3 linked regions of the Caenorhabditis elegans genome follow. The protein of the gene in region 3 interacts with the protein of the main gene of each other region in a pairwise test. Each region holds a gene or a part of one and is shown on either strand. Other genes may lie near its edges.

Evidence for each region.
Region 1: the proteins of scc-2 (region 3) and Y47G6A.14 interact in a two-hybrid assay, tested with the Caenorhabditis elegans proteins (one large-scale study listed by BioGRID).
Region 2: the proteins of scc-2 (region 3) and ZK899.6 interact in a two-hybrid assay, tested with the Caenorhabditis elegans proteins (one large-scale study listed by BioGRID).

Annotation. Positions count from the first base shown.
Region 1 is NC_003279.8:3,462,136-3,474,816, forward strand, and holds Y47G6A.14 (RING-type domain-containing protein), read right to left. Parts: upstream 6,053-12,681; 5' UTR 5,987-6,052; intron 5,446-5,986; coding exon of another isoform or gene 5,373-5,445; intron 5,331-5,372; coding exon of another isoform or gene 5,168-5,330; intron 5,119-5,167; coding exon of another isoform or gene 4,999-5,118; exon of another isoform or gene 4,997-4,998; intron 4,168-4,996; 5' UTR 4,154-4,167; coding exon 4,102-4,153; intron 4,051-4,101; coding exon 3,923-4,050; intron 3,875-3,922; coding exon 3,829-3,874; intron 3,786-3,828; coding exon 3,689-3,785; intron 3,644-3,688; coding exon 3,574-3,643; intron 3,517-3,573; coding exon 3,418-3,516; intron 3,364-3,417; coding exon 3,238-3,363; intron 2,724-3,237; coding exon 2,571-2,723; intron 2,169-2,570; coding exon 2,047-2,168; intron 1,706-2,046; coding exon 1,531-1,705; intron 901-1,530; coding exon 775-900; intron 729-774; coding exon 636-728; intron 360-635; coding exon 240-359; 3' UTR 135-239; downstream 1-134. Other genes in the region: AFG3-like protein spg-7, read left to right, coding at 4,999-5,118, 5,168-5,330, 5,373-5,445, 7,151-7,349, 7,407-7,531, 8,447-9,592, 10,309-10,417; Y47G6A.15 (DUF148 domain-containing protein), read right to left, coding at 10,940-11,059, 11,663-12,172, 12,222-12,288.
Region 2 is NC_003284.9:9,459,867-9,468,415, reverse strand, and holds ZK899.6 (C2H2-type domain-containing protein), read right to left. Parts: upstream 5,072-8,549; 5' UTR 5,061-5,071; coding exon 4,976-5,060; intron 4,929-4,975; coding exon 4,822-4,928; intron 4,773-4,821; coding exon 4,026-4,772; 3' UTR 3,675-4,025; downstream 1-3,674. Other genes in the region: ZK899.5 (C2H2-type domain-containing protein), read left to right, coding at 7,483-7,567, 7,615-7,721, 7,771-8,505.
Region 3 is NC_003280.10:248,984-258,618, reverse strand, and holds the start of scc-2 (Nipped-B-like protein scc-2), read left to right. Parts: upstream 1-3,422; 5' UTR 3,423-3,436; coding exon 3,437-3,640; intron 3,641-3,688; coding exon 3,689-3,919; intron 3,920-4,003; coding exon 4,004-4,327; intron 4,328-4,742; coding exon 4,743-4,944; intron 4,945-5,249; coding exon 5,250-5,406; intron 5,407-5,916; coding exon 5,917-6,293; intron 6,294-6,391; coding exon 6,392-6,698; intron 6,699-6,769; coding exon 6,770-7,178; intron 7,179-7,569; coding exon 7,570-7,906; intron 7,907-8,533; coding exon 8,534-8,748; intron 8,749-8,794; coding exon 8,795-9,085; intron 9,086-9,635. Other genes in the region: cat-2 (Biopterin-dependent aromatic amino acid hydroxylase family profile domain-containing protein), read right to left, coding at 756-800. UniProt on the Caenorhabditis elegans protein: Plays an important role in the loading of the cohesin complex on to meiotic chromosomes. Forms a heterodimeric complex (also known as cohesin loading complex) with mau-2/SCC4 which mediates the loading of the cohesin complex onto chromatin.

The sequences.
Region 1 (12,681 bases), on a different chromosome or scaffold from region 3:
CGCCCATTTTATCAAGATCCGGTCATAAAAGTCTGTAAAATATTTTGTTTCCGATCAAGGGTGCTGGCGAATATCCCGCTATCGCTCGTCTCTGCAGTTGCCATTGCCAGGAAAATCCATGATTGAAATGTTCTCAACTTTTTAATTTATTCAAGTTGTTATACAGACCGAAAAATTCGAAAACTCATTTAAATATAAAATTCATAGCTTTAAAACTTGAGCATTTCTCAGTCGGATAATTATGCGTCGCTAGTAGTTCCAAACTCATTCTCCACTGCGTCGAGGCGTTTCTGCTGCATTCTGACGACAGTCTGGCTCATATCAGCATTCGATTGGAGAGAAGAAATTGCGTGGTCCGCCTGAAAATGGTAAATTTTCTTATAATCTTTCTTTACTTTTCCGAACAAATTTTCGATTTTTCGGTTTTTTTTTTTTGTTGAGCAAAACCGAAAAAAAATCTGAAAAAACTTCAAAATCGGAATTTCTCATCAAGAATGCAATATTTTTTATTACGGTTTACGCGTATTTCATACAAAAAAACAGAAATTGCACTTTTTTGAGCAAATTTGACCGCAAAATTTTTCACTTTTCGGTTTTTCAAAAAATCGAAAACCCCGGCAGGCTTGTTTCCGAACCTTCTCCAACTCGTTCTGAAATCCCTTGACAACCTCCGCTTGTTCCGGATGTCCACGACTTTCCATTGCGATTTTCGACATCTTGGTGATTTTCTGAACATTTTTAAATATTTCAGATAATTATTTAATTGAAACCCACGTCATCATATCCTTCCAACTGTGTGATATAATGTTTGAAGGTGTCAAGAAGAGCCGAAAATTTGATATTAATCTCATCTTTATGCTTTTCAACTTTCGAGAAAACCTTGAGCGAGGTGTAGGCTTCCTGAAAAAAAAGATTAATTATTTCTCTTATTATGGGAACATTTAATTCTGAGAATGCGTATTGTACAACATATTTGACGCGCAAAATATCTCGAAGCAAAAACTACAGTAATTCTTTAAAAGACTACTGTAGTGTTGATTTACGGGCTCGATTTTCGAATCAATTTTCTGTTCGAAGTGTGCTTTAATAAATGATTTCCGTAAATCGATACAAACGCTACAGTAGTAATTTAAAGAATTACTGTAGTTTTCGCTTCGAGATATTTTGCGCGTCAAATATGCTGTATTATCAGAATTTTGTGTTCTCGTAATAAAGGCTGGTTCACAAAATTACCCAAAATTACCGAATTTTTCTTTTTCTTTATAAATTATGTCGGTTTTAAAAATTGGGAAAATACATTTTTTCTTGCTAAAACCTCAAATTTTGAAAGCTTTACAAAGTCAGAACTTGCAGAAGTCAGTTTTCATTTATTTATCACATTTTACTACACATTTTGGTCGATTTTTGTGCATTGCGACCGAAAATGTAAGAAATTGTGATAATTAAATAAAAATTTACTTCTGCAAGTTCTGAAAATACGCGTTTTTTGAGAAATTTTTGGTCTTTTTAGGTGTAAAATTAAGTTTTTACCTGAACTTGAGAATATCTGACAGTCTTGTGCTCGCCGTCAGAATGATGATGATCGACGATACAATTCGTGCAAATCGGCAGAGTTTCAAGGTCAACTGCGTCGATTTCAGTTGTTTCGAGAAGATTGTCAACGAGTTTTCCGACGACTTCAATGCATGTTTTGCAGCAGCGGAATCTGTATGGAAAAAATATTGATTTTTTTTTTGATTTTGCAGAAAAGTTAATTATTTTTGAACTCCCGCGCAAATTTTCTCGGAAATTGGCCAAAAACTCGATTTTTTGCGGAAAAAATGTCTGAAAAAATAGAAAATCTTTTTTTGCTGCAAATAAAAAATATACATACAATTTCAGGCTGAAAATTTCAGTTTTTTGAGTTTTATTGTGAATATTTTTTAGAAATTAAAAAAAAACAGTCAATTAAATTGAAAATAACGAAAAATGCTCAGCAGACGCTCCAAATATTTCAATTTTCTGTGAAAATCGGCTCCAAAATATCCAAAAAATGAGTTAAAGAACCTTTCGACGGTCTGCTTGGTCATACACTCGCTGCACGTGAGCTCAAAAATTTTCTCGACGGGCTCTTGGCATTTCGTCTCCTCGTCCTTTTTGTTGATGGCCACGAGAGCAGTGAATGATTTCTGAAATTTAATTTATTACTCAGTCGCGAAATTTTGCGCGAAACTACGGTATCAGGTCTCAACACGAAAGATTTTTGTTGAAGGCGAGAAGGTGTGCGCCTTTAAAGAGTACTGTAATTTTTGTAAATTTTGAATAAATTGACAAAAAAAGTATGGGAAAAACATCGATTTTTCATCGTTTTTCTGTCGAAAAAAAATTCCAAAAAGTGAAATTACAGGAATTTTTTTCGACAGAAAAACGAAGAAAAATCGATGTTTTTCCCATACTTTTTCTGTCAATTTGTTCAAAATTCACAAAAATTACAGTACTATTTAAAGGCGCACACCATTTCGAATCCAGCAAAAATCTTTCGTTTCGAGACCCAAAACCGTATTTTTGACGCAAAAATGACGATTTTTTACTTGATATTCCTTGTCCTTATTGGCAATTTCCAAGCACACAGACTGTACATAATCTGACATTCTTTTGATTTCCTGATCAATTCTCTTGGAAAACTCCTCTTGGACATCACTAGACTTGCTTTTTCTCATCATATCCGTCATCTTGTCGAGCTCCTGGAATTATTTGATTATTGATTGAAAAAATAATATGGAGACGCAGAAAAATGCGCCTTAAAATTTAAAAATCAACGTGGAAATGTGCTCCGCCTCCAAATTATCGGTCTCGTTAGGTATACATGGCGGCAAAACTGGAAAATTCAAAAAATTCGAATTTCAATTGTTTTATGTCGAAATTGATGAAAAAATTGTTTTTAAATGCATTTTTAACGTCATTTTTCCGTAAAAATCACGAAAAGCAACAGAAAACTTCTTCAAAGATTTTGTCACCAAATATTTTCAAAAATCAAAATTTTTCGATTTTTTTAAACGATTTTTCGTGTTCCGAGGAAAAAAAATTGAATTTTCACTAATTTCCGAAGAAAAATTAGTTTTTTAAATCGAAATCCACTTTTTTTTTTGATAAATTCATAGTATTCTTCCATTTTTTCTCCTAGATTATCTCTGAAAATATCCGAAAAATCGAAATTTTGACCGCGCACATCGATTTCAAATATCAAATCAAAATCACCGTGTGGAATGTCTTATATGTCGATGCAAACCGAGCATACCACGCATTGGTGAGCCCAAACGACGATTCGAGCTCAATTCTCAGAAGAGAAATACTTGTAAGCTGGCTTGCGAAGTTCATTCCGGACTGAAAATTTACAATTTTAAGTCTTTTCTTTACAAATAAATTTTTTAAATATACCGCAACCGGGAAATAAGCCACAGTCTCGTGGCCCTGTGTGACATGAGATCGCAGTGCACAACTTCCACAAAGCGCCAACGATTTGATATCCAAATCCACCTTAAAAAATCATTTTTCAATTTTTTTTTTTTTTTTGAAATTGGATATTTTCCGGACCTCGGCACCCAAATTCTCCACGACGTCGTATTTGAAGGCATCAGTGACGCAATTGCGGCAGACGAACATGCTGGAAATTGAATTTTTTTGTTATTTCTAATTAAAAGAGGCCTACTCCGATTCGTTGTCGTATTTGGTGCATTGAGTGCAGTCCACTGCATTTGCAGGCTTCTTTGGCTTCTCACGAAGCTTTTGGATCATGGTCACAGCATCTGAAAAATAGTTTTTTTCGGGAAATATGAATATTTTTAAAACTTGTCAATGCAAAGTTTTTTGTTCGCTTCTCCTTGCTAACCACGGCCTGAAATTATTTTATTTTTAAACAGATATCAATATATTTAAGCCATACGCGGCATGTCGGGCATTGTGTCTGGCCACCAGATCCATATGCGTCAGAATAATCGCTTTTCAAGTGCACAATGCAAGTTTCGCATAGAGAATGGCCACAAGATATGATGAATGGAGCCTTTTGATCATCTGAAAATAAAAATGTGCTTGTTTTACAATAAAAATTGGGATATTTTTCACCAAATTCTTCCTGGCACACAGGGCAAGTCGGGAGTTCTTCATTAACATCCATTTTTCTCGAAAATTCTGAAAAATAAAGTTTTTTAAATTAGAAAAATCAATATTTTTAAATTTTCGTTATTTTTAATCGTCGAATAATTGAAATTTTCGTTTAAAATTAAGGAAAAACAATTTATACAATTTATATCCGGAAAAATTAATGTTTTTGCAAATATTTGAGTTTCAAGCGTTTTCGCTTCAAGTCTCAAGGAGGATAATGTGCTTGCGCCTTTAAAAACTACAGTAAGACCTTTGTTTATTTCGTCATCGAATTTCAATGTTTTGAATCAAATTTCCCGTGATTCCGGTTTGATTTTCACAATTTTATTATGTTTTTACACTATTTAATGAATTTTAATTCAGTATATAATAAAATCCATAGATTATCCACACTGAAAATCTACCAATACCGTCAGTTTCTCAAAAAAAAAACATTTGCCCAAAAAATGCCTGTTTTCCATGGAAATTCACATTGATTTTTAATTTCACAACGTTTTTTTTGCCAATTTCTTTCCAAAATTTCTCAAAGTACTTTCGCAAACTAATCGTTCACTTTTGCGTCATGGCTCTGTGCACTGGAAACTAATTTCAAACGACGCGCGCATTGTCTTGTGCGATGGAGCGCGCTTGCTATTTTCTAAAAAGTGCTCAGTATTTTTGAAGCTTTATGGTTTTTCCTTGTATTTTGCATAATTTTAAACATTTTTCTCGAGAAAAAATATTCGAAAAAGTAGAAAACGGCTGAAATTTGGTTGTTTTTAATTTTTTCCCTCGTTCCTCAATCTTAAAATCGAAGATTTCGTCATCTCTCACTGTTTGCGCAGTGCATGATTATGATAATTAAATTCTATTGCAGAAATGTGGCGATTATACCGAAAAACGCCGAAGCAGCTGAGAAATTCGGTCGAATCATGCTTCAAATCTGTCAATTCCCGCCAATTTTCAGTCAGCTCATTTTCAGCAGTAGCCAAAGATGATGTAATATTACCGCCTGCCAGTATACTGAAAATTCTGAATTTTTTTGCAGAAATCCGTGCTAAAACAACAAGAAGTTCTGCATCTTCTCGCAAAAGATCAGCGATTTGAAGAGCGATTCTTCAATCAAGTACAGCAGACAATTCGATATTTCGCCTCGAAACCAAATGATTTGAAAAAGTTCTTCAGGAAGGAAGCATCGACGGATAATAAAGGTTTTCAGAGGGAAATTATCATTAATTCGAAGTTTTTTCCAGAATCTTCATCATCTTCTGACAAAAAGGACAGCAAAGGAAATAAGGGAGAGGATAATAATCCGTTTAATCAATTGTGAGGAGGAATAGACACAAAAATCGGCTAATTTTGGCTAAAATCTGAAATTTCGCCCAAATTATCATCATTTAGATGCTTTTCACCACGTTATTTTGTTTATTGAAGTCTCGGAGAAGCCCCGGAAATCATTTCTAGTCGAATTTCTTTGGAGTATTTCAAAAAATTGACTTTTACAGGTTTCCCGGGCCGTATTTTGAACTTTTTGGCAAAAATTGTCCCAAAGATCCGGAAAAAACTTGTAAAATCCAATATTTTTAAAATAAATTGGTGATTTTAGCTAAAATTAGCAGTTTTTTTAAAAAGTTTTATTGGCAGAGCAAAAACCGTGCCAGAGTTGCAAAAATTGGCGTTTTTAGCATTTTCTCCATTTTTCCAGATTTTCAAAAATCGAAAATTCGGGATTTCGGAATCATTTCAATAAAATTCAAAATTTAATGAAATCACGAATTTTCCAAATCGTTGAAAAAAAATTCCGAGAAAAAAAAAACAAAAAAACGCCCATTTTTGCAATTCTGGCACGGTTTTTTGCTCCGCCCACGATGTTTTTGAGCGGGGCACCACGTTTTCAAGATCTACGAGAAGAAGATCTACGTTTTCAGGATCTGGCACCGTGCCAAGTGCAGTTTTCGCAGTTTTCTCGAAGAAAATCGAAATAACGATGCTCCGATATTACGCATCGCGAGTTGTTTAGCGTTTTTCAGAAGTTTTTATTCAAAAAAGGTTTTTCTGACTAAACAACGTGCGATGCGTAATATCGGAGCATCGTTGCTTTTTCTTCGAGTAGACTGCGAAAACCGCAGTTGGCATGGTGCCAGATCCTGAAAATGTAGACCTCCTTTTCGTAGATCTCGTTTCCGGCTAGATCTTGAAAACGTGGTGCCTCTTTTGAGCACATTTACCTTTTCTAAGATTTAAAAGTGGGGTACCGAAATCTGGAAAATATTTTCAAATGTCTCCAAATTTTCTTCTCATTCCAAATATCGATGTGAAAAAAATCAAAACAATTTTCTAGATTTTATATGATTTTTTGAAAATAGGAAAAATCACAGTTTTCACCTAATTATTTTTGAATTTCCGCCAATTGGATTTGTTCGGTGGAGCGTGCTTGCAGTATTTTTATCAATTAATTTTTTTAAATTCTTGTTCTTTGACTGATTTTCTTCATTTTCTATGTTTTCTCCTCGGAAAATGGAAGAAATAAACAAGACAAATGCAAAATTCTTGTTAAAAAGTAATTGAAAATGAGTAAAACTGTGAAATATACTAATTTCAGGCTTGTTGCCGTCGGAACTCAGAATATCACAGTTTTACTCATTTTCAATTACTTTTTAACAAAAATGTTGCATTTGTCTTTTTTATTTCTTCCATTTTCCGAGGAAAAAACATAGAAAATGAAGAAAATCAGTCAAATAACGAGAATAAATAAAATTAATAAATAAAAATAATGCAAGTGCGCTCCACCGAACAAATTCAATTGGCGGAAATTCAAAAATAATTAGGTGAAAACTGTGATTTTTCCAATTTTCAAAAAATCATATAAAATCTGGAAAATTTTTTTGAATTTTAATATCATGATATTCGGTCAATGTGACCCCATAGGCGCGTTTTAAAGCAATTTACCCACTGAGCGTAGTCCACCTTTAAAAAAACGGAGAAAACCTCTAAAACCCCTTAAAATCAATCTAATTCCTCCAATTTTCAGCCCAGGAGGATGGCAACAAATTGCCGTTTCAGTTGGAATTCTGCTCGCTCTCTACGCCTTTATGGATTATCAGTCGTATCGTGAAATTTCCTGGAAGGAGTTTTACAGTGATTTCCTGGAAGCTGGACTTGTCGAGAGACTTGAAGTAGTTGATAAGCGATGGGTTCGAATTGTTAGCTCGTCTGGAAAGTATGCAGGAGTTAGTTTTTTAGTTTTTGCACTGAAATTCGTGAAAAAATGAATTTTTTTCTTTCAGCAAACGTGCTATTTCAACATCGGAAGTGTGGATAGCTTCGAACGGAGCCTCGGAGCTGCTCAGCATCATCTCCAGTATGATGCTGATCGACAAATTCCGGTTTTATATAAATCTGAATTCAATTTGTAAGGATTTCTGCAAAAATCACTCCATTTCAAGAAAAATTAGAGAAAAAAAGAAAAAACCCCCGATTTTCTTAAAGAAAAAGCTCTGGGAAATGGGAAAAGTTATAATTTTTGCATGAAAATTCAGAAAAACTTTTAATTTTTCACATTTTTTGTAGTTAAAATTTTGTTTTTAAAGTGAAAACCTTCAGAAAGTCACTGAAAATGAAAATTTTGCACAAAAATTATGGAAAAAGTTGCTTTTTGCTCGTTTTTTGCACTAAAATTTCAAAAAAAAAATCCGATTTTTCTGATTTTTTGCCTGAAAATTTCAAAAACAAAAATTAATTTTGCTGGTTTTTTGCAGAAAAATTTTTAAAAAAACGCAGTTAGGCTGTTTTTTGCCTAAAAATTCGAGAAAATCTCAATTTTGCTGAATTTTTGCACTAAAAGTCTTTTAAAAAATCCGATGTTTCTGATTTTTTGCCAAAAAATTCAAAAAAAAAAATTTTGCTGATTTGTTGCACTAAAATTCCAAAAAAAACTCAATTTAGCCAATTTTTTGCACTAAAATTCCAAAAAAATCCGATTTTTCTGATTTTTTTGCACTAAAATTTCAACAAATATCAATTTTGCTGAATTTTTGCAGAAAAAATTTAAAAAATCGCAGTTAGGCTGTGTTTTGCCTAAAAATTCCAAAAAAAAATCCGATTTTTCTGATTTTTTTGCACTAAAATTCCAACAAATATCAATTTTGTTGAATTTTTGCACAAAAATTCAAAAAAAAACGCAATTTAGCTGATTTCTCGCACTAAAATTCTTTTAAAATTCTGATTTTTCTGATTTTCTGCACTAAAAATTTGAAAAAATCCAATTTTTCAGGCATTTTTACATTAAAACTCCCCCAAACTTCAATTAAAAACCTTTTTTTTTCAGCAAACGCGAAATCCCAAACCTCATCAGCGTCGCATTCCCTCTTCTCTTCGGCTATTACATCTATCGAATGCTGAAAGGCGGTGGAGCAGCTGGCGGAGCCGGAAGAGCTGGTGGAGGTGGACTCGGTGGAATGTTTGGTGGATTCGGACAAAGCACGGCTAGAGTCATTAATCGAGAAGATATCAAGGTGAAGTTCGCCGATGTTGCCGGTTGTGAAGAGGCAAAAATCGAAATTATGGAGTTTGTGAATTTCCTGAAGAACCCCCAGCAGTACAAGGATCTTGGCGCGAAAATTCCGAAAGGAGCCATTCTAACAGGACCTCCTGGAACCGGAAAGACACTTCTCGCGAAGGCAACCGCCGGCGAGGCAAATGTTCCATTCATCACTGTATCGGGATCCGAATTCCTGGAAATGTTCGTCGGAGTAGGACCTGCAAGAGTCCGTGACATGTTCTCAATGGCTAGAAAGAACTCTCCGTGCATTCTATTTATTGATGAAATTGACGCAGTTGGAAGAAAACGTGGTGGAAAAGGTGGAATGGGTGGACACTCTGAACAAGAGAATACTCTGAATCAGCTTCTCGTTGAGATGGATGGATTCACAACTGATGAATCGTCGGTCATTGTGATTGCCGCCACGAATCGTGTGGATATTCTCGATTCGGCACTCCTCCGACCTGGTCGCTTTGATAGACAGATCTATGTTCCAGTTCCAGATATCAAAGGTCGTGCTTCAATCTTTAGAGTTCATCTTGGACCACTTCGGACTTCCCTCGACAAGACTGTGCTTTCACGAAAACTCGCCGCCCATACACCAGGATTCTCTGGAGCCGACATTTCGAATGTGTGCAATGAGGCTGCGCTGATTGCGGCGAGAGATGCGAATCACGAGATTTCAAATAAACATTTCGAACAAGCCATCGAACGAGTCGTCGCTGGAATGGAGAAGAAGACGCAGGTTTTGCAGAAAGAGGAGAAGAAGACTGTAGCCTATCATGAAGCTGGGCATGCTATTGCTGGATGGTTCCTACAGCATGCGGATCCTCTGTTGAAGGTTTCTATTATTCCACGAGGAAAGGGTCTCGGATATGCACAGTATTTGCCGAAGGAGCAATACTTGTATTCAAAGGATCAGTTGCTTGATCGGTAATGATGATGCAGTTTTTAAGTTTTTATTTTTCAAAAAAATTTCCAAGAAAAAACTGTTAAAAACTGTCAAAATCGCGATTGGAAACACTTTAAAATCGTGATTTCTGGATATTTATAGTATCAAAAAGTGCTTTTATGAGATTTTCCCGACAATATTACACTTATTGCTTGATCGTAGTTACAAATTGTGCAAAATCGTGATTTCTGGAATTTTTTGAATCACGAAAACGTGATTTTTAAGCAAAAAGGTCCCCAAAATTTCACTTTTATGAAGCTTTGGCGGCGGATATGCACTCTAAAATTTTTTAATTTAATTTTTTTTAATCATAATTTTGAACCAGGAATAAGTCGACATTAGTTCGAAATTTAAAAAAAAAGCTCAAACAAATAGGAAAAAAGCTAATTTAACTTTTTCTCCCCAAATAATAAAAATCTTAATATTTTATTCAGAGAATTGAATTTTTTCGAAAATTTTTAATCTTTCCCTTCATTTAGGATGTTTTCCCAAAAGATTTCACTGTACTGATAAATTTTTAGCTGAAATTTTTCAATTCAAAATCAATATTTCTGATTTTTTTCAATTATGCATATTTCAAAAAATATTGTTTTTTTTTCGATTTTGCGATTTTTTACCAAAAAAAGAGCCAAATTTTGTTGGCAAAAGAAAACCTTTAATTTTTCGATATTTTTCAAAATTTTTAAAAATTTTTCAGAATGTGCATGACACTCGGAGGTCGCGTCGCCGAGGAGATCTTCTTCGGACGAATCACAACTGGAGCACAAGATGATCTACAGAAAGTTACACAAATGGCATATTCACAGGTTTGGTTTATTTTATTTTACAGCTTTATTGAGACGGAGCAAAAGTTGCAAAAAGTATTCGAATTTAATCTAAAACCGGCGATTTCTTGTCGAGAGCCTCTGTCAATCCTTCACAAATCGTCGACGCAATGCCAGTGTCCGGATCCACGTTGCATGTGCATTTGACTGGAGCCGAGCCGCTGAGAGCCGTGAAAATAATCAGAATTTGGAGAAGAAGAAGAAGAAGAATCAGTTGAAATTTCATGATTGAATGGATGGGGGAATGTTTGACTGAAGAGCTCTGAGAGAGCAGCTTTATCTGACATATGAAGTCGATTATGTTTTTGTTTCGGCGGGAGGAGAGCCAAGGAGAAATAGTGTGTGAAAAATGGAGAGTTCAGGCAAATACCAGAAGACATGTGTGAGCTGCTTTCCCGATTGAAACCATTTATTTAGAAGAAAACAGAAAAAGAATAAGATGAAAAGAATAGGACAAATAAATTAGATTGAAAAACAAAGAATGTAGGCACTCGAATAAATAGCTTAATGACGCTGAAGCAGGTTGAGCAGATGCTGTGGAGTTACGTATTGTCCACCACCACGACCATTATTTGGCGAGCCATTTCCGAATTGGATGCTTCCTTGGTCGCCGTTGGTATTTGGCTGAAATTTGAGATTTTCGGATACTAGATTCCGTGGAAATAGATTTCCCGAAAGACCCCGCCCATTTATTGACTTTTTCGGGGTTTTTTCGCTACAAAACTAGGTATTTTTAAGGAGGAACAGTTGGAAGGAAGCAATTTTGGCAGAAAATAGGCGAAAATTTGGTTTTTCGGAGATTTCATTCCGTGGAAATAGATTTCCCAAGAGACCCCGCCCATTTATTGGCCTTTTCGAAATGTTTTCGTTTCAATTTTGAAAAACGGGCAAATTTGTTGGCCAAAAATGTACAAGAAGGCATTTAAAAGAGAAATCTCAAAAACGATACTTATGACTCCTTGGAAGCAAATCCACCAAGAGGCCCCGCCCATTTATTGGTATCTAGCATTTTCATCTCGAACTGAATTTGTTTCAAAAAATGGCCGGAGCTCTTTAAAAAACATGTAAAGAGAAATCTTCAAAACGAATCAGACTCCGCCCATTTAATGGCTATTTCTAGAATTTTTTCGCTACAAAATTTTGTATACAAAACTGTGTGGAGATTGTGACCTTTTGAGGAAAAAAAACGCGAAAATTGCAATTTTTCAAATAGTAAAATGCACTCACCACAAAAATGACGTCAACTCTGTCCAATCCTTGATTAGTATTTGATGCTCTTGGCTGATTCTGCTGATTCGACACAAACGGATAACCATCTTGTGTTGTGGTTGTCGTCTGTCCATTTCTCTGATTATTGCATTCATCCAGGCGGTTTCGGAGACTTCTCATTTCGTTTGTCGTCTGTGCAGCAGCGTTTCGCAATTCATCCACAAGGGCTTTGTTTGCCCTATTGGCGTTCTTTTCCTTTTCAAGTTCATCACGAGCATCTTTGGCGTCATCTTCTGCTCTTTTCTGACGTCTGTTGGCTGTCTCAACTTCGTCCTTTGCTCTATCAAGATTCGCGTCCGAGGATGTTAGTTTAGCCTCCAATCTCATCACGTTTAAATCGAGTTTCAGAACTTGATTTTGACTCTTCACAAGTTCTGCAGACTGGCTATCGAAATTACGTTTCAAACTGACCATTTCTGCTTCTAATTGTCTTTTTTCCGCTTCGAGCTCATCTGCTTTGTCAACCTCCTGAAAAAAGGTGTCCTAATTTTTTCGAGGTGATTTGAGATTACCGCACCTTTTTAAACTTTTCCACCAGCCTATTATACTGGGCTCCTGTGTATGTCTGTTGTGCGTTTGGACCGCTGTAAAAAGGTGGAAATTAAGAAAATTATCGTGAATAGATGCACCGAACTTTTCTGCTTTACCATGAATGTCTTAAAATCACTCAAAAAATCACTTTTTGCTTAAAATTTGCCTTTTTCCTTATGGGGTTATTCAAGTAGTGTCGGAAAATTAAAAAGTGTAGAAAAATTACGTCACAACCTTATTCAAGTATATAAAAAACATGTATTTAAATACATTTTTGACGTCACAAATGTATTTTAATACATTTTGCTACATTACTTGAATAACCCCATTAAATTTTTGGGAATTTTTGGAGAATATTATTTTATTCATCCCTTTAAAAATTTTCTGAATCAATTTCGATTAAAAAAAAATTTTTTAAGCAAAATGCCGATTTTCTGAAAAAAAAA
Region 2 (8,549 bases), on a different chromosome or scaffold from region 3:
CGGACGAACGCATATTACTTTCCTCGCCTTCCCTCAATACATCTTCACCTAAATTGTCACCCTAGTATTGGATTATTAGTCAAATTTCGCGCCCCTCCAATTACTCGTACCCACGAAATGCCTACTGTATAGGCGGACAGTACTGCGCGACTAAATAGGTTAGTTTCCATTTCTAGATTGGGATGGACCCTGTGGAATTTTGTTGAAAATGACAAAAACTTGAAAAAATTTTTATAGACAACAAAGATAAGCCGATAAAAAGATGAGCAAATCAAAACGAGCAAGATTGAAATTGAGCCATTTTGCCACCTCGCTTTGAAAAGCCCTTTCTCAAACACGTTTCCCACCTTTTCTCACCCCATCATCTCTTAACACAATCAAAAGAGCCTGTTCACACGCTCAGATTTACCGCAATCCTTTTTGATTTTTCATGATTTATTTCGCGTTTTTGTCCGATCCGCAAACATATGCGTTAAGAGACAGAAGAGGAAAATGGGAAAAAAGTGACCAGGCGTCAAGTTAGCCAGACAGACGACTAGAGTGTGTGTGTGTGTTAGAACGGGAGATTTGAGAGACACTCGCTTTGTATATTCAATAGAAACTACTGGGAAATGTGGCCGAATGGTCTAGTGGTATGATTCTCGCTTTGGGTGCGAGAGGTCCCGGGTTCAATCCCCGGTTCGGCCCATTCCTTTTGAGATCTCGAAGAATTTTTTCATTCAAAGAAAACAGGAGGCCAATTGGTTGAGTTTTTTTAAATTGTGTTATTCAAAAGATTTATCATTTGCAAGAGATGCCACATTTTTCCTCTGAAATCTTGTTTAGATCTGGTTTTATCATAATCCCTTGGTGACTTTGCTGTTCTATTATATTTGGGGCCTTCAAATCAGCACATTTTTAAAGAGAAGTATTGATCAAAATCATACAGCTGGTGTGGGGAGGGGTAATTTTCCAATAAAAATGATAAGCATTGAGAACATATCGAGTATGAAAACTACAGTAATCATACAGTACTCCTACAGTATTACCCGACCACTTCCGGCGCGGGGGCGTCCGAGTGGTACAAGGCGCTGGTTCCATGCCGACCCACATGGGGGTCGTTGGTTCGAACCCACTCTCCCCGCGCTGCCTTCTACTCGTCTACTCACTTCGTTCTCGACATCTACTAACTCGCTAATCGCCGTTCCAAATGTCATCAAAAGGAAGCGACGGATTATGATACAACCAAATTAAAACCAAAAAAACCGTTCTCTTCTGATCTTTGAAAGCTATAAATAGCATCTGATCCTAAATGACTTGTTGAAATGTATTTTGCCTGCTCTCGTCATTTATCAGACACTCTGGAACTACCCTGCAAGAATCTTACACACAAGAGCATAATGTAAAACAGTTGTAGACGGCCTTATTGACTTGCATGACACCTTTTATCAGCCCATGAACTTGTGGAAGCACCTCCGGCTGTAGTAAGTCGGTCAAGAGTATATTAATCTCCGTGGCACAAAGACTGTAGTACAGAAAATAGTGGTAATCACTATTTTTTTAATAATTTCATTGGTCACAATGATTTCAGCCAAAATATCATCTTACGGAACCGAGCGGTAAAATGAACGAGCGACAAAAATCATTGAAAGTTCATAAGCACAACAAAGTCACGCTCCCCCTACTCACTGAAACTAATCAGCATTAAAAAATTACGATACTATAAAAACTTACCGGAATTCTATGAAAACTCAAGTAGCACGTCCTTATTATTGACCTAGGATTTCAAAAAAAGAACAACGCAATAACAGGGAGGCTTCGTCGCAAAAAATGAGTTTTTTTTCGGAATTTTTTTGTTTGAAGGAAAACACATATTTTAAAACCGAAAAATATCCGGGATACATTAAACGTATTAAAAATAATAAACTTCCATAAGAAAAATGAATGAAATTTGATTTGAAGAATAGATTTTTCAAACATAAAATCTCAAATTAGATTTTTTCTTCGTAGAAAGTTGTTGTTTTTTGTCCAAGGCTTGGAAAACCGACAAAATTGCTTCTACAAATTGGAAAAAAAAATGCAATAACTGCGAAAATTTTCAATTTTTGTCAGAAAATAATTTTTCGCTGGTCCTGTATAGCTAATCCTAATGAAAAAGGCAGACTCTGAAAAAGAAATTGAAGATGACCCTGACCAAAAAACTGTAATTCTCGAAAATCAATCTGTATCTCTAATCCCTAATAGTATTGCAATCACAAAAGGATTAAAAATCAGTATAGCACTTAAAGAAATAATTACTCTTGATGTGTCTTTTTCTTTTTTACAAGATTGGTAGCCGTATGCACAGTTTGTCCTACTTTCAGTTTGCCCAACTGCCTACTCTGCTCACATCAAACTTCATTGCATTGAATTATTGAGGTAGTTAGCACAATATTAAGTTGAATATTTTCTTGGTTAGGTTTAATTGTGTCAACTTAATGTACTCACTCATTTTTCAAACAATCAATAAAATTCTCATATATTTTATCCACAGCATCAGTATCTCTCCCTTCGCCTAAATTTTCTTGCCCAGTTAATTTAAGCGACAGCCATTGGAGAGTACTACGTGGGTATGATTTTTGTTTATTGGGCAAGTAGTCACACCGAATTGATAAGGGGTGTGTATTAAAAATAAAAAAATTGTGGATACGATTGAGGTACATACGAATGACATCAAGACATCCAGTAAATGCGAAAATTATGCTTGCTCTCAGTCTTCGAGGAAAACTTTTTTTTAATTTTTTACATTTCAGAACTTAAAAGGCAAGGCAAGCATTGTACAGCAGTTTATAAGAAACAGACAGAGCGTAACGAGTAATACTTTGAGCATACTTAATATTTTTTCGGAAAAGAATTCCGTTTTTGAAAAATCGTTGCAACTTTTCACTACATACTCTTGCAAAGTAAAATACGACTTTTCGTATTGGCAGAAATAATTCTAAAAGGCAGAAATAATTCTAAAATTAATTTCTAAGAGCCGCTGGCCGGATTGTTAATTTTTTTAATACTTTGAGTTGAGTTGATTCCAAAGTGTTCTCCCAAAGACTGTACTGCCTGATATTTAACTGAAAGAAGTTAATTTACAGAGAAACACGACTAAAAATATATACCTTTGAAGCCAACAGGTTCTGTTAAATTTTTGTAAGTGAAAAAAACATTGTTCGAAGTTTTTTCTCAGAAAAAACTATATGCTCTCTATACCAAAGAACACTTACAAAAATTATTATTAATTTTCTAAAACTTGGAAAGTTCTGCAACTGTTAGATGAATAACACATTTCTGAAAATTTCGACACGTCACATTTATTGATCGTGACCTTGTTTATGTATAGGTCGAAGGGGCACCAGACGGCATTGTTGTTGTGTTTCGGGAGGACACACAAATATTATCAAGTCTAGATGAAAACAAATAAAGTTTATATTATTCCCCCATAAACCATTTCAAATCATTAACTTGTTTAGAGGGTCATTTCCTGATCACGGAGCATGGAGAGTCATGATTTATGTTGTTAAACTTCTGATTGCTAAACAATTGTCTGAAGTTTAGATCGAACAATCATACAACAATAAAAATATGTACTCTTCAACGATGTCAATGCAAATGCTGCCTCATTTCGATAAAATTGCATATTTTCTACATTTGTAATATTTGAGAACTTGTGTGTTGAGAAATGTAAAAAGTGATTTTATTTCATGCTATTGTAAAAGTGCGGTTTTAAATCATTAAGGCAATGACAATCAAGCAAAGAAAGGTGCAGTGCAATGCTGTGAACAAGTGAACAAACAAACAAAAAACTACAAAGCAAGTTATTCAAGAGAGAAGGAGAATCAAGAAGCATATTAAGTCAAAGAGATCAATGAGTGAATAAACTAAGATTGGAACAAGAATGGAGCAAAAAATAAGTTATTTTCTGAAACGGAATTACTTCAAATTTACTGAGCACAACTCAGTTCAGCAATGGTAGCTTTGTAACAAAAACAAAAATTTGTTCTTTAAATTGAGAAGTTTTACATGGTTTCGACATCAATCATTTCCTCGTCAAAGTCTTCAAATTCAAACGATTCTTCATTGACTTCCTGATCAGCAGCGTAGACGATCTCCATACCTTCATTGTTGATATCTTCTTCTCCGTCGTCCAATTTATCAGAATCATACTCATCCCAATCAGATTCCTCCACCTGCTCATCCTCTGAAACATCGGAAGTTTCTGTGTCAGTAGCGTCTTCCATGTGATCAATGCTTCTGGACATTCTTTTAGTTGGGAAAGAGTAGACAATACTTCCAGTTCTTTCATCTTTCTGTTTCTTGATCAAATAACGAACAAAGACGACATCAATCATATTCGAAACGTCAATCATGTAATCCTGGTACTTTTCAATGAAGTACTCCGAGAGTTCATCGAAATGAAGATCAGGTCCAACAGGCTCCAAATTTGGGATAACTCCTTCGGGCAATGGCTGCTTTAGATCCTCTCTAATTTGAATGATGCGCTCATCAGTTTCAAAGTACTGGAAGAGATTACAGAGACTATCATATGAAGTAAGCATGTTTCCAAATAGAGCTTTTGAATTTTGAATGAACGTTGAGTACTCGGATTTGTAGTTCGTGCATTGTTTGGAATGAATAATCACTTTGGCTTCTTCGTTGAAACGTTCCATACACATTCCACACTTCTTGCACTCAGATGCTTCATACAATTCAGAAACACGTTGAGTCATCATTAAAAGACGATTTCCGTGCATGTGCATGTGATACTGAAAGTAGAAAACAATTGAATTTTAATTTTACAAAGATTTGACTTACATTCAAATCGCGTTTTGCATTTTCGAGACATTCATCAATATGCTGAATAAATGGGATTTCCGAATCGAACTTTGAACTGCAATCTGAGCACTGTAACTTGTGGATATCTGAAGAAACGCTATTAGTCAAGAAATTGGATTAGGTTGTAGCTTACTCAAGAAACTGCGACAAGTGTTGATGTTTATTGGAGTTCTCCAAATGTCGAAAATTCTGTGAGGAATGCTAGTGACGGGAGTCATTCTGAAAATTGTCAAATTAGGGCTGAAATTAGGATTTTAAACAATATTATGAATAAAAAAAACAGATAATCGGCTACATGTCATATTGACACTCTGTCTTCCGAAATGACGATACTTTCAAAAACCTACTAGTGCATTATAAGAAATTTACCAAGAAAGACGATGGAAACAATAAATTAGTTACAACAAAAAAGACAGATTTTGGGTATTTTGAACTGTAACACTTGATGATGGACTTAAGATTTGTATTTAAGCTGGGGTACAGTTTGCGACATATATATTTTCACAAAATTAAAACTGATAAATGGAAGATCAAAGCATGAATTGAGCTTAAACATGCATTTTAATATAAATACGAAGATTTTATATTTAAAAACTGAACTTCAATCGAAAGTTCGTATGTTTCAGATTCACATGTTATGATTTTTCTTGAAGATACTCAAAGAAAGACACGTGTGGTGAACTTTTCAAGTTTCTGCTTATTGAGACCGCATTCATTTTTCATTCTTCTATTATTAGCGTGTTTGAATCAATAAGTTATGCTTGAGTAATGATTAAGTTTTACTTGTTTCTCGGAATCAGGTTGTAAGGATCCTTAGGTAAAGATACGAATTAAAATTATAAAATTATAACTAAAATCATTTGAACAAACGCAAATCAATAAAGAAAAAAAAATCGGAGATTTTATTTGACTGTTCAAATTGTTCCCCGCCGTTTTCTTGAAAAATAACTGTTTCTGCTTTTCACTTTTCTATTTTTCGTAAGGGTTTTATCTTCTGAAAAACTGTTTCCAAAAAAATAAAGAATAAACTTTGTCTACCAAGAAAGTGTCCTCTCAACCAGGGCTGCGCGGCAATCGGACAATTTTGGCAATTGCCGAAATTGCCGAAATTGCCGATTGCCGGACATTTTCGGCAATTTTCAAACCTAATTATATTTTGGAAAGTGAAAATGTTCACAGTGTTTTATAGTATTCGATCAGTCATTTTCTTAAATAAAATGGTAAATCATTGTAGGATTAAAACATTTCGAGCTTGAAAAGAGAAAATTGTTCATTGAAATGCCTCTTTAGGCTCGTAAATCTACAAAGAAGTATCAACTTTACATTTCCGGCAATTCTGATTTCCGGCAATCGGCAATTCCCGCAATTGCCGGTTTTCAAAATTCCCGGCAATCGGCAACTTCGGCAATTGCCGGTTTTGTCTTATAAAAAATGGGTTTCAATCAAAGTCAAAAGTGATTTGTACCTACTTCGATCAGAAAATATTACCAATCAATTCGTGACAAAAACTGATGTTTTCTCAAAAAAAATTGCGCATTTACAACAAATAGTTACTTAATTTATCGATAAAAAAGTATACATCAACGAGAAAGAACACTTTTAGTCTGACTTCAATTAGAAATGAGTTACGCGAGATTTGAAAACAATAGTTGTGCTCTGGAAACACAGATAGCGAATATATTTAATTATATGTGATATTCATCTTCAAATTTTGTTTAATTATTGCAAATGTACTAAAAAGTGTATTTGTGTTTAAATCTATTCAAGTAGTTTTTTCACAAACACGGACATGTAAATAGGATTTTTTTAAATGAGCATTTTTGACGCCAAAATCTCATTATAACATGTATCTTAGAATCTTTAAGAAAAATCATGAAATGCAAATGTGAATCGCGTGAACCTTCGATTAATGTTCATTTTTGCTGATTATACGTAAGCTTTCCTTTGAACACTTAGAGGTTCAATACATGCTTCAATATGCCATATCAGTTTTACCTTTTTATTGATAAAATATATATATATATATATATATGTCGCAAACTAACTCTAATACAGATCCTTACTCGATTATCCAATCATGCAAAACAAAATACCCATAATCCCTCCCTTGTGTTTTATTTATTTGATTGTCTTCATTGTCTTTCTTGGTACATTAACAAGTTTCTTATAGTACAGTAGTAGGTTTTGAAAGTATCGTCATTTCGGAAGACAAAGTGTCAATATGACATGTAGCCGATTAGATACTCCGTTCTGTATTTCTATAATTCATTTTCCCCATTTACAATTACCGTAAATCTGTTTGTTGGTAGACTACCATGTGAAATTTCCCACATCGTGATCCAGTATGTGGCAATGTGATGCTCTATGAGACGATATGGGACGCTAAAATGAACAATCGATACCAATATATTGCTGGTAAAAGGGTGGAGCCTACCAGTTTGTGTAAACCAATATAGTCAGTTATTCCTCATTCACTCGTTTTGGAATGTCAGGTTGTGATCTGAAACAGTTTAATCATTGTTCCAAATAATTGACTTTTTTTTAAAAGTTTTCTGTTTGTTTGTTGTATTAGTATCTGTTTCTTTTATTCATAATATTGTTTAAAATCCTAATTTCAGCCCTAATTTGACAATTTTCAGAATGACTCCCGTCACTAGCATTCCTCACAGAATTTTCGACATTTGGAGAACTCCAATAAACATCAACACTTGTCGCAGTTTCTTGAGTAAGCTACAACCTAATCCAATTTCTTGACTAATAGCGTTTCTTCAGATATCCACAAGTTACAGTGCTCAGATTGCAGTTCAAAGTTCGATTCGGAAATCCCATTTATTCAGCATATTGATGAATGTCTCGAAAACGCAAAACGCGATTTGAATGTAAGTCAAATCTTTGTAAAATTAAAATTCAATTGTTTTCTACTTTCAGTATCACATGCACATGCACGGAAATCGTCTTTTAATGATGACTCAACGTGTTTCTGAATTGTATGAAGCATCTGAGTGCAAGAAGTGTGGAATGTGTATGGAACGTTTCAACGAAGAAGCCGAAGTGATTATTCATTCCAAACAATGCACGAACTACAAATCCGAGTACTCAACGTTCATTCAAAATTCAAAAGCTCTATTTGGAAACATGCTTACTTCATATGATAGTCTCTGTAATCTCTTCCAGTACTTTGAAACTGATGAGCGCATCATTCAAATTAGAGAGGATCTAAAGCAGCCATTGCCCGAAGGAGTTATCCCAAATTTGGAGCCTGTTGGACCTGATCTTCATTTCGATGAACTCTCGGAGTACTTCATTGAAAAGTACCAGGATTACATGATTGACGTTTCGAATATGATTGATGTCGTCTTTGTTCGTTATTTGATCAAGAAACAGAAAGATGAAAGAACTGGAAGTATTGTCTACTCTTTCCCAACTAAAAGAATGTCCAGAAGCATTGATCACATGGAAGACGCTACTGACACAGAAACTTCCGATGTTTCAGAGGATGGACAGGTGGAGGAATCTGATTGGGATGAGTATGATTCTGATGAGTTGGACGACGGAGAAGATATCAATAATCAAAGTATGGAGATTGGTTACGCTGCTGATGAGGATCTTAATGAAGAGTCGTTTGAATATGACGAGGAAATGGTTGATGTTGAAGCCATCTAAAACATTGAAACTTGATTAATTTTCACAACTATCTATTGCTAAAC
Region 3 (9,635 bases):
GTTTTTGAACTTTAATGGCTTCTATTTCGATTTTCGTTTTCTTTTTTTTTAATTCGCAAAAAGGTCGGATTTTCAAAATGATCACTTAGGGTGTTAATTCTAAGTTACCATGAAAGTATTGTTGGTTAGTGACGACATGTTAATTGAGACGTTCCTTGCGACGTTCACCGCCGCAATTAGTTTTGACAATGGAGACGACACTTCTGAAGGGTTACTGTAGATGGTTAGACGGGTATTGAGAAAGTTATTGGCCGAGAACTGATAACCCAGCATATGAAAGTGAACACAGTGATTGTTTTAGTAAATCAATAGTAATTGCAGTGTTACGTGACTCAATTTAGTTAGTATGTACGTTTTGTAGAGGTACTTTCAAACATTATTTAGAATGTTAGCGTATGAAAAATTAGTTGGTAATGCGTTATAATGTGCCAAAACTCAAAGAAAACACTAAAATTTGAAAATTTTCATGAAAACTTCCTAGAATATATATACACACATTCCACTTGAATAACACATTAACTGTTCGACTTCTCATACTATTCTTTTTTACTATAGATATTATAAAAAGTGTGTGTTGATGAGGTTGTCTGAGAATACAACACAAAGAACATTGTTTTCGAGGTCAAAATATCAGAAAAATCACGGAAATTCTATTTTTCAAGTTTTTAATTTTTAGTTACCAGGGAGACCACGTTGAACTAGAAAAACGAACGAAAGCCTAACGAATACCTGAAATATATTTGAACAGAATTTACGTGATCCTCTCCAGAGCCCCGCCTCCGCATATACCGCAAAAACATTTCCTCTTCCAATTTTTCAAGGGGTCCCCACGCCAACAACGACAGTGAGAAGAGATAATTGTTGCTCCTGTTGCTGTGTTATGGAGTACTCTGAAAGAGAGACACCACATTTCCTTCCGTATCAAATCATCATTGCATACTTTGGAGCATATGAATGTGCATTGTTATTGTGTAATATAGCATTGATTCCATGGAAGGAGTTGTTCAGGTGAAATGCACTTTTTGAAAAGCACGGGGTACTGTAGATATGACGTGGGACGATTTTATACTGAATTAACAAAAGGAGAAATGAAGACAGGTGTGACTTCACATAGTTTTTAAATAAAATTTCCGGGTTATTGGAGATCTTCTATGGTTCCTATTCCAAAAATTTGACTTTTGTCAAGTTGTTTTATTATAGTTTTTTTAAATGTCTATTTTTTGAGACATTTAAATCGGATTTTCTTTTTGAGCATAAATTGATTTATACAATGTCAGGAAAACTTCTTATTAACAAGATGAAATTCGACGCTTTCACGATCGCCAACGCTAGCCCAATTTTTGTCGGCCGCTTGTTGTTGATTACCAGTCAATTTTGGATATGAAGATCAGATTCTCAAGACGGACGGAAGTAAAAGGACATTGGACAAGAATCAAAGGTCAAGCTCTGGAGTTTGTTTCAATGGGAAACCTATAAACTCTAGCCTGAATGCTCCCAGTCTATAAATTTTGGAAAAAAGATCCCTTCGGGGATCCGAAAACTTCTTATTCTGTATGTATGCCTTCTATTAGTAAGGCATGCGATACTATTTTCCGGACACTTCAATGAAGTGACTTCATTTGATTCAAAACTAATAAAAACAAATCGGTTTGCTAAATCAAAAGTTGTAGTTTGTAGTCTAGCAGGCCCAATCTTTTCCAAAATTCACTAAATTTTGAGCTGTTCGAGTCTGAAAACTGAACATTTTTTTAGTTTTTAACAAAAAAAAACCATGGAAAATCGAAGCTTTTAAATTTTTTTCAGCTTTTGTTGAACTGAAAATGGAAAATTTTCAAATTTTGCCATGAAAATTGCTTGATTTTTTTATTTTTCAGCATGAAAATAAAACATTTTTCGATCAAGCACGTTCTTAACAACACGAAATCAGTTGAGAAGTCTCCGTCTAGTCTCCGTCTCTGATCAAACCTACATGGGACAGTCTGTCACCACGTGAGTTTTTTCACTGAAAAAGGCCAAAAAATTTGAATTTTTCTAATTTATGAGCGAAAAATGTTTATTTTCATGCTGAAAAATAAAAAAAAATCAAGCATTTTTCATGGCAAAAATTTAAAATTGTTCCATTTTCTGTTCAACAAAAGCTGAAAAAAAATTAAAAAGCTTCGATTTACCATCGTTTTTTTTTCGTTAAAAACTAAGAAAATGTTCAGTTTTCAGACTCAAACAGCTCGAAAATAAGTGAAGTTCAGAAAAGATTGGGCCTGCTAGACTACAAAACTACACATTTCGATTTAGCAGACCCAAGTGGAAGTTGGCGTGTATTTTCTCTTTAAAATTGAAATTTTTTGAAAAAAAACTGATGACGTTGTTGAAATTTCCGTATGTCCTCTAATAGTTTTGCATAAAATTAATTTTCGGGAAAATAGTAGCGCTTGCCTTACTACTAGAGGAAATATATTTAAGTACGGTATAAGAAATTTTCGGATCCCCGAGGGGATCCTTTTTTCCAAAATTTATAGACGGGGAGCATTCAGGCTAGAGTTTACACTCAAAATAATAAAACTGCGTGGCGTGTACTGCAGAAAACCTAATATTTAGGCCCCGCCTTTTTTTCGTCCACTCACGGGGAAAAGGCAAAATTCGGGGACCAACCAATATCAGGCCGCCGACATCTCATGGGTTCCGCGCGCCGCTATGTTTAACTCGCAGCGGGCGGAGACAGCTTGCCACACCCACAACGAGTTAAACATAGCGGCGCGCGGAACCCATGAGATGTCGGCGGCCTGATATTGGTTGGTCCCCGAATTTTGCCTTTTCCCCGTGAGTGGACGAAAAAAAGGCGGGGCCTAAATATTAGGTTTTCTGCAGTACACGCCACGCAGTTTTATTATTTTGAGTGTATAGGTTTCTCAATGAAAAACCATCTCCAGATCTTGATCTTTGATTCTTGTCCAGAGTCCTTTCACCTCCGTCCATCTTGAGAATCTGATGAACGTACCGAAAGTTGACTACTAATCAACAATCCGCGGCCGACAAATCGTGGGCTAGCGTTGGTGATCGTGAAAGTGTCGAAAATCTTGGAACTGTTCCTCACATTGTATAAATCCATTTATGCTCAACAAGATTATCCGATCCAAGTTTCTCGAAAAATTGTATTTTTCCCGTCTTTTTAACATGAAATTCACTTTTTCAGAGTAGTCATAAATTAATTCCCAAATTCACTAAAATCGTGCGCACTACTTGCGAAAACTGCGCGTGCCGCTTGCCGAAAGGGCGGCCGCTCGATGGAGCGTGTTTGCATCGCTTTGAAAAAAACATTTTCGCGCTTTTCGGCCACTGATTTGATTTCTATTTATCGATTTTTCGTGGAATACGCTGATTTTCCTGCAAAAACGCAAATTCTCTGAAAATCTACGATTTATTGCAGAGATCGAATGAAATGGATCCGAATAACTTGCAAAATAGCCTAAATGGGACTGGAAATCCCAACTTTCAACCGGTTCAAACGAACGCCGGCGGATTCGGACATCAAATGGCTCAAACTGGAGCTGCTGCAGCTGCCGCCGCTACCGGCCAGTACAATCCGATGTTGTTACAGCAGCAATATTTGAATTTCGGATTTGGAATGAATTATAATAATCAGGTAGCGGCTTTGGGGGATTTTTCATGAAATTTAACCAAATTTTTTCAGCTTTTCGACTTTCAAGCTCAACAGCAACAGCAGCAGCAGTACCTGATGCAACAACAGCAGCAGCAACAACAGCTTCATCACCAGCAACAGCAGCAACATCAGAATATCGCTCAGCCGCAAGCCCAACATCATCAAATGAACATGTTCACACAACATCAGATGCTTCAATTGATGCAGCAGCAACAACAACAGCAGCAGCAACAGCCAGTTCAGCAGATTCAAAGGCAACAGGTGCATAGAATATCTGAAAGTTCGGAAAAAATCCGCTTTTCTCAGTTTTGCAGTTAAAAAATTAAAATTTTTCAATTTTTCCAGCCAATCGCCCAACCAATACCACAACACACAATTCCACCGTCAACCTCGAATCAATTTCAACAGCAAATTCAGTCGGCGGCTTCATCGATTTTCGACTCATCAGTGATCTCATCGCATCAAAAACTGTACGAAGAGCAGTGTCGACAAATTGAAAAAGAACGAAAAGAGCAGGAAGAGCGAAAACGGAAGCAAGAGCTCGAAGAGCAGAGAAAACGAAATGAGGAGTTGAAACGATTGCGGATTGCTGAGGAAAAGCGGCTTCTGGAGGAGCAACAGAGGCTCCGAGAGCAAATGGAACGGGAACGGTTGGCAGAGATCAAGAGGGTGAGATTTTGGATTTAAAAAGCTGGAATTGTGGTTGAAATTCGGACCAGATCCTGGATTTCCACACTAAAAATCTGAAAAATCCATTGAGAATATTTTTTTAATGCCATTTTGAAACTGAAAACCCCTTTAAAATCGAAATTTTTCACGAAAAACTCTTTGAAATCCCCTCCCCCCCCCCCCCCCCTTCCAGAAACGCGTTAATTATTGATTTAGGCGGTAAAAGTAATTTGAAAAACTGAAAAATCTCTAAATTTTATCAAAAAAGTTGGAAAAGACACTTTGCAATCGATTTTTAACAGAAAAATTTGAAAATCACGAAAAAAAAACGTTTAAAAATCAACGAAATGTAATTCAGCTTTGTTGTGCAGCCATTTTTAATCGAAAAACTCCTAAAATTATGTTTTTTTTTCAGCTAGAAGAAGCCGCCCGTCTCGAAGATGAACGCCGTATTGCTGCCGACATCGAAGCTCAAAAACAAGCGATGCTTCAAAAAATGCAAGCCGAACAGAATAAGCATATCGCAGAAGTCGAACGGCAACGGAGTGAACTGGAAGAGCGATTCGCAAGAGTTTCTCAGCCGATGACACTTGTTGGAACTCATTTTTTACCGAATTGTAAGGGAAATCATGGGATTTTAAGAAAAACTAGATATTTTTACTGTTAAAAATTTATCTTGATTGAAAATGATTTCAAAAAATTCAATTTTTGGACAAAAAATACAGAAATCTAAGAAAAATTGCAATTATCATATCGAAAAGTGTAGTTGTGCAATAGGCTTGATTTTATTTTTCCCAACTTGAAAATAATTAAAATTCAGGGCGAAAATCGAAATTTGCTTGTGAATAAATCATAAAAAGTATTTTTAATTTGTATTTTGTAGTTTATAGTCTCCGTAGCACCAATAATCACCTTTTTTCAGTCCTCGACATGATTCCATTCCCATATGAAAGTATGGTTGATTCTACACTTCCACAAGTATTTGATATGGAACGAGATAGCGCAATTCTTGAATCATGTGATCCTCAAATGGTCGCCACAATTAGTAATATCCTGAATGCCACTAATATTGATGATATGTAAGTTGGAATATGGAAATTTTTTGTTTTTTTTCTGAAAAAGTGGTGTAAAAGTCTAAAAATCTGTTCAGAAGAAAAATTGCTGTAATTTTTTAATTATAAAAATTATCCGAGTTTTGAAGACTTTTAGAACTAATTTTTCTAAATTTTCAAGTATTCTTCTTTTTTTTTTGGAAATCTGGCTCGTTTTTGAGACGTAAGTGCACATTCATAGAATGTAGATACCAGCGACACTAATTGTAAGCCATTGCCGATAATTATTGGTTATTGACAACGTTTATCTGGAAAATGACATGCTTATTTCAAGTTTTCAGAAAATATTCGCCTAAAATCATATATTTTGATTCAAATCTCTTCAAAATCACTTGGGTCTGCTAAATCGAGAGTTGTAGTTCGTAGTCTAGCAGACCAAAAAAAAATTTAATTCAGAATAAGTTCTGTTACAACTGTTTTAAAAGCGTTGCTCAAACTACAAACTATAAAATATTTCACATATCTCTTTTCTTCCAGTATAACTCGAATGGACAAGCTCCGTCCTGACGACAAAGAGACAAATGATCTATTCCTTGACAAACTCCCGCCAATAATTCAAGCAGTCGTCAATTATAATACAAGCGCTCTCGACGTGGATTCGCATAATGACATGGAATTGTTGGAGAATGAGGATGTAATGATGACTGAGGATATTACAAGAACTACTGCTCCTTCAACGAGCTCCTCTTCGTATAATAATCATCATCAGAATTCGATTGTAATGATGACGTCATCGTCGGTTAGTATGTCAGAAGCAACACAGAGTTCAAGTGTTACTATGAATCATCACGATGTGGACGAGGAAGGACCCGCGCCGATTTCCATTGAAAAGCGCAGGCAAATGATGTCTGTTGGTAAGTTTTTACGGAAAACTGCCAGTTTGACCCTTGAACTTTGACCCCTATATAAGCAGCTGGTTTTTCTACACTACAAACTACAATTTTTCTTTCAGGAAAAGCACCAAAAGCCGGTGGTGGCGGTGGCCAGAATCAGCGGAAGAAGCGTGATATGGTCGAGAATCTGTACGATTCGCTGACCGACAATTTCGTGCCAACAGACACCGGACGACGTGGCAGACGACGTGGACGTGGATCCGACGATGACGAGGATGAGCTGCTTCAGCGGGATCTGAAATTGATTGAAGAAATGGAGAAGGGGGTTAAGCTGCCGGCAAGTGTCACTGGATTCACAACAACCGAGGAGGATGTTCAGCATTTCTTTGGGTCACAGAAAAAGCGAAGAAAGGAGGACAGAATTAGGTAAAAGAATTACACTACAGTGTAGTTTGTAGTTTGTAGTTTGTAGTCTACAATTGGCTTTTTTTTTGCAGGAAAGATAGATCTCCAACTCCAGAAGACGTTATCGAATCGCGGGATGCTGAATGGCAAGAGCGCCTGCGTCTGAAAATGGAACGAGAAAAATCGCGAAAAGCCGACGAGGAGAGCCAAAACGCGTGGAGCCTGCAAGCGCTGGCCGACAACGAGACGTTCACTCGATTCTGTCAGACTGTTGACGGTGTTCTGGAACAGGGCGACAGTTTGGACACTGAGCTGAAAATGCCGAAGAACAAGAAACGAAGATCCGGCGGCGATCATCATCATAAAGGAGATGAGAATTCCGATGAATCGGATGAAGAAGAGGAGATGGATGAGATTGATCCAGATCTACGGATTGAGTTGTACATACTTGAAGAGCTGAGAAGAGGATCCGCCAGATTGAGAGAGAATCATGCCTTGCAGGTGTGTAGTTTGGAAAATTCGATTTTTAGTGCTAAAAACTCGAAAAATTGCAGTCTAGCAGCTTCTAAAAGCGTAGAATGTGACCTGAGCACAGATTTTATGTGCTAAAAAATCAAAATTTTCCATTAGAAAAATCCAAGTTTTAGTGCTAAAAATTCTAATTTTTTCAATACCATTTGGGTCTGCTAAATCGAAATTTGTAGTTTGTAGCCTTGCAGACCAAATACTTTCAAATTAACTAGGGTCTGCTAAATCGAAATTTGTAGTTTGTAGCCTAGCAGACCAAATCTCTTGGGTCTGCTAAATCAAAAGTTGTAGTTTGTAGTCCTAGCAGCACAATTTCAAAATCGAACATTATTCTACTAAAAGTTTGCCAAATAAAAAAATGCAGGCCGTCGGAGCAGACAAACTACTGAAACTCGTCGCAATGCTGGATCGTAACATCCGTGACGCCATCTCGGCCGACAATCAACGTCTTCTCGTCCCGTGTGACGATGACGTGGATGTTGGTGACGTGCTCGAAAAGGAAATCTGCGAGGAACGAGTGAAACGAGCATCCGACGCTGCCGTTGTAGCACTGAATATCATGTCGAGTCATCGAATGCACAAACAAGTTATCATAGAGGATGTCATTGATCGATGTGTTGGATTGACTCGTCTCTTGCTTATTCATTTAATCTACCCAGCGTCGGATAGTATCTACAAATCGGTTAATTCTAAGAAAAAAGGTGCATTTTGTAGTTTTAAGCATCTCCATTAAAGGAGGACTAACGGTTTGACCAATTTGAACGTACAGACCCAAAATGAGCTCAAATAAACGAATTTTGTAATGAAAATTCTCAAAAACTTTCCAAAACATTTTTTATGGCGGTTCAAAATTTCGAAAAAATGACACTGATTTTAGCTTGAAACTTGAATTTTGGACATTTTCCGTGCCTCATCTGCCCGAAGTTAACTTTTTTGGAATTATCATCCTTTATTGCATATTTAGGTAGTTTATCTCATTTAATTTCGTTGATTAAGGTATATTTAAAGCCAATAGGTAACCAATTTCGATGATTTTTGGTTACCTATTGGCTTTAAATGTACCTTAATCAACGAAATTAAATTAGATAAACTACCTAAATATGCAATAAAGGATGATAATTCCGAAAAAAGTTATCTTCGGACAGATGTGACACGGAAAATGTCCAAAATTCGAGTTCCAAACTAAAATCAGTGTAATTTTTTCGAAATTTTGAACCGCCATAAAAAATTTTTGGAAAGTTTTTGACAATTTTCATTACGAAATTCATTTGAGCCTATTTTGGGTCTATGAGTTCAAATTGGTTCAAATTTAATTTCAAATTTTGCAGACCGTGCACCAGAAGAAGCTCGTCGTCGAAAGAAAGCTGGCGTGTGCACTCGCGATAAGTTCAGCGAGTACATTTACGAACGAATAACCGAAGCAATCGGTCTGCTGGCAGTTTTAGTGAAAAGTGAATCAATGACTGATACTTCCGTTCATAATGTCGCATCTGTTGCGTTGACGCCGTTCTTTGTTGCAAATGTTGGATCACTGCAGATTACTGTAAGTCAGGCGCTGCTACAACTACAAACTACAGTTATTTTTTTAGGCAATGCTTCTCGCGTCGAACATCTTCTCCCGAGCCGAGGATTCTCTTCGTTTTTCGATGATCACCGATTTGTTGTCTTCATTGCACAGAGCTCCACAATTTACTCAAAAGAATTCGAATAATGGATATAGCCTGCCGGATGGCTCATGGATTTCAACGACGACGGCTCTTTTCATACAGCTTGTTCAGTCGACAATCAAGATTCCGAAATTCAAGAAGCACGCGGATGAGGATGAATTGGCGAAGCGGTCGAAAAAGGAGGAGGCTATGGTTAAGGAAGGATTTTTGAAGGTAATATATTGAAAAATTGATCAAAACGGACTTTTTTTTCATTTTTGATGCTATTTTGTAGTTCGTAGTTGGTAAAAACTTTTTTAAAAAACAGTACTAATAAATTCTCAATTTTTAAAAAATTAATTAGTGAACATATTTTTTACTGAAGTATTAAAGGTGGTGTAGTCGAATCTTTTTTTATTTCTTTATTAGACTCGAAATTGTCTGAAAACGCCGAATTTCATGATGAAACTTCTTGAAAACTTTTCAAAAAAAAGTTATGGCCTCTTGAAAAATGGCCTAAAATGAATGAAAATTTGAAATTTGACCAACTTATCATTGTCGCGGCGGCTGGGAACAATTTTTTTTTGAAATTGTCGTCTAATTTTGGGTATACAGGTCGATTATCTTGCGTTTTCAGCTTTATTAAGGGAAAAGTCGATGGACGAAGAGATTTGTCAAATTTTTTTACCAATTCTCTTTCGACTTTTAAATACCTTAATAAAGCTAAAAACGCAAGATAATCGACCTGTATAACCAAAATTAGACGACAATTTCAAAAAAATTG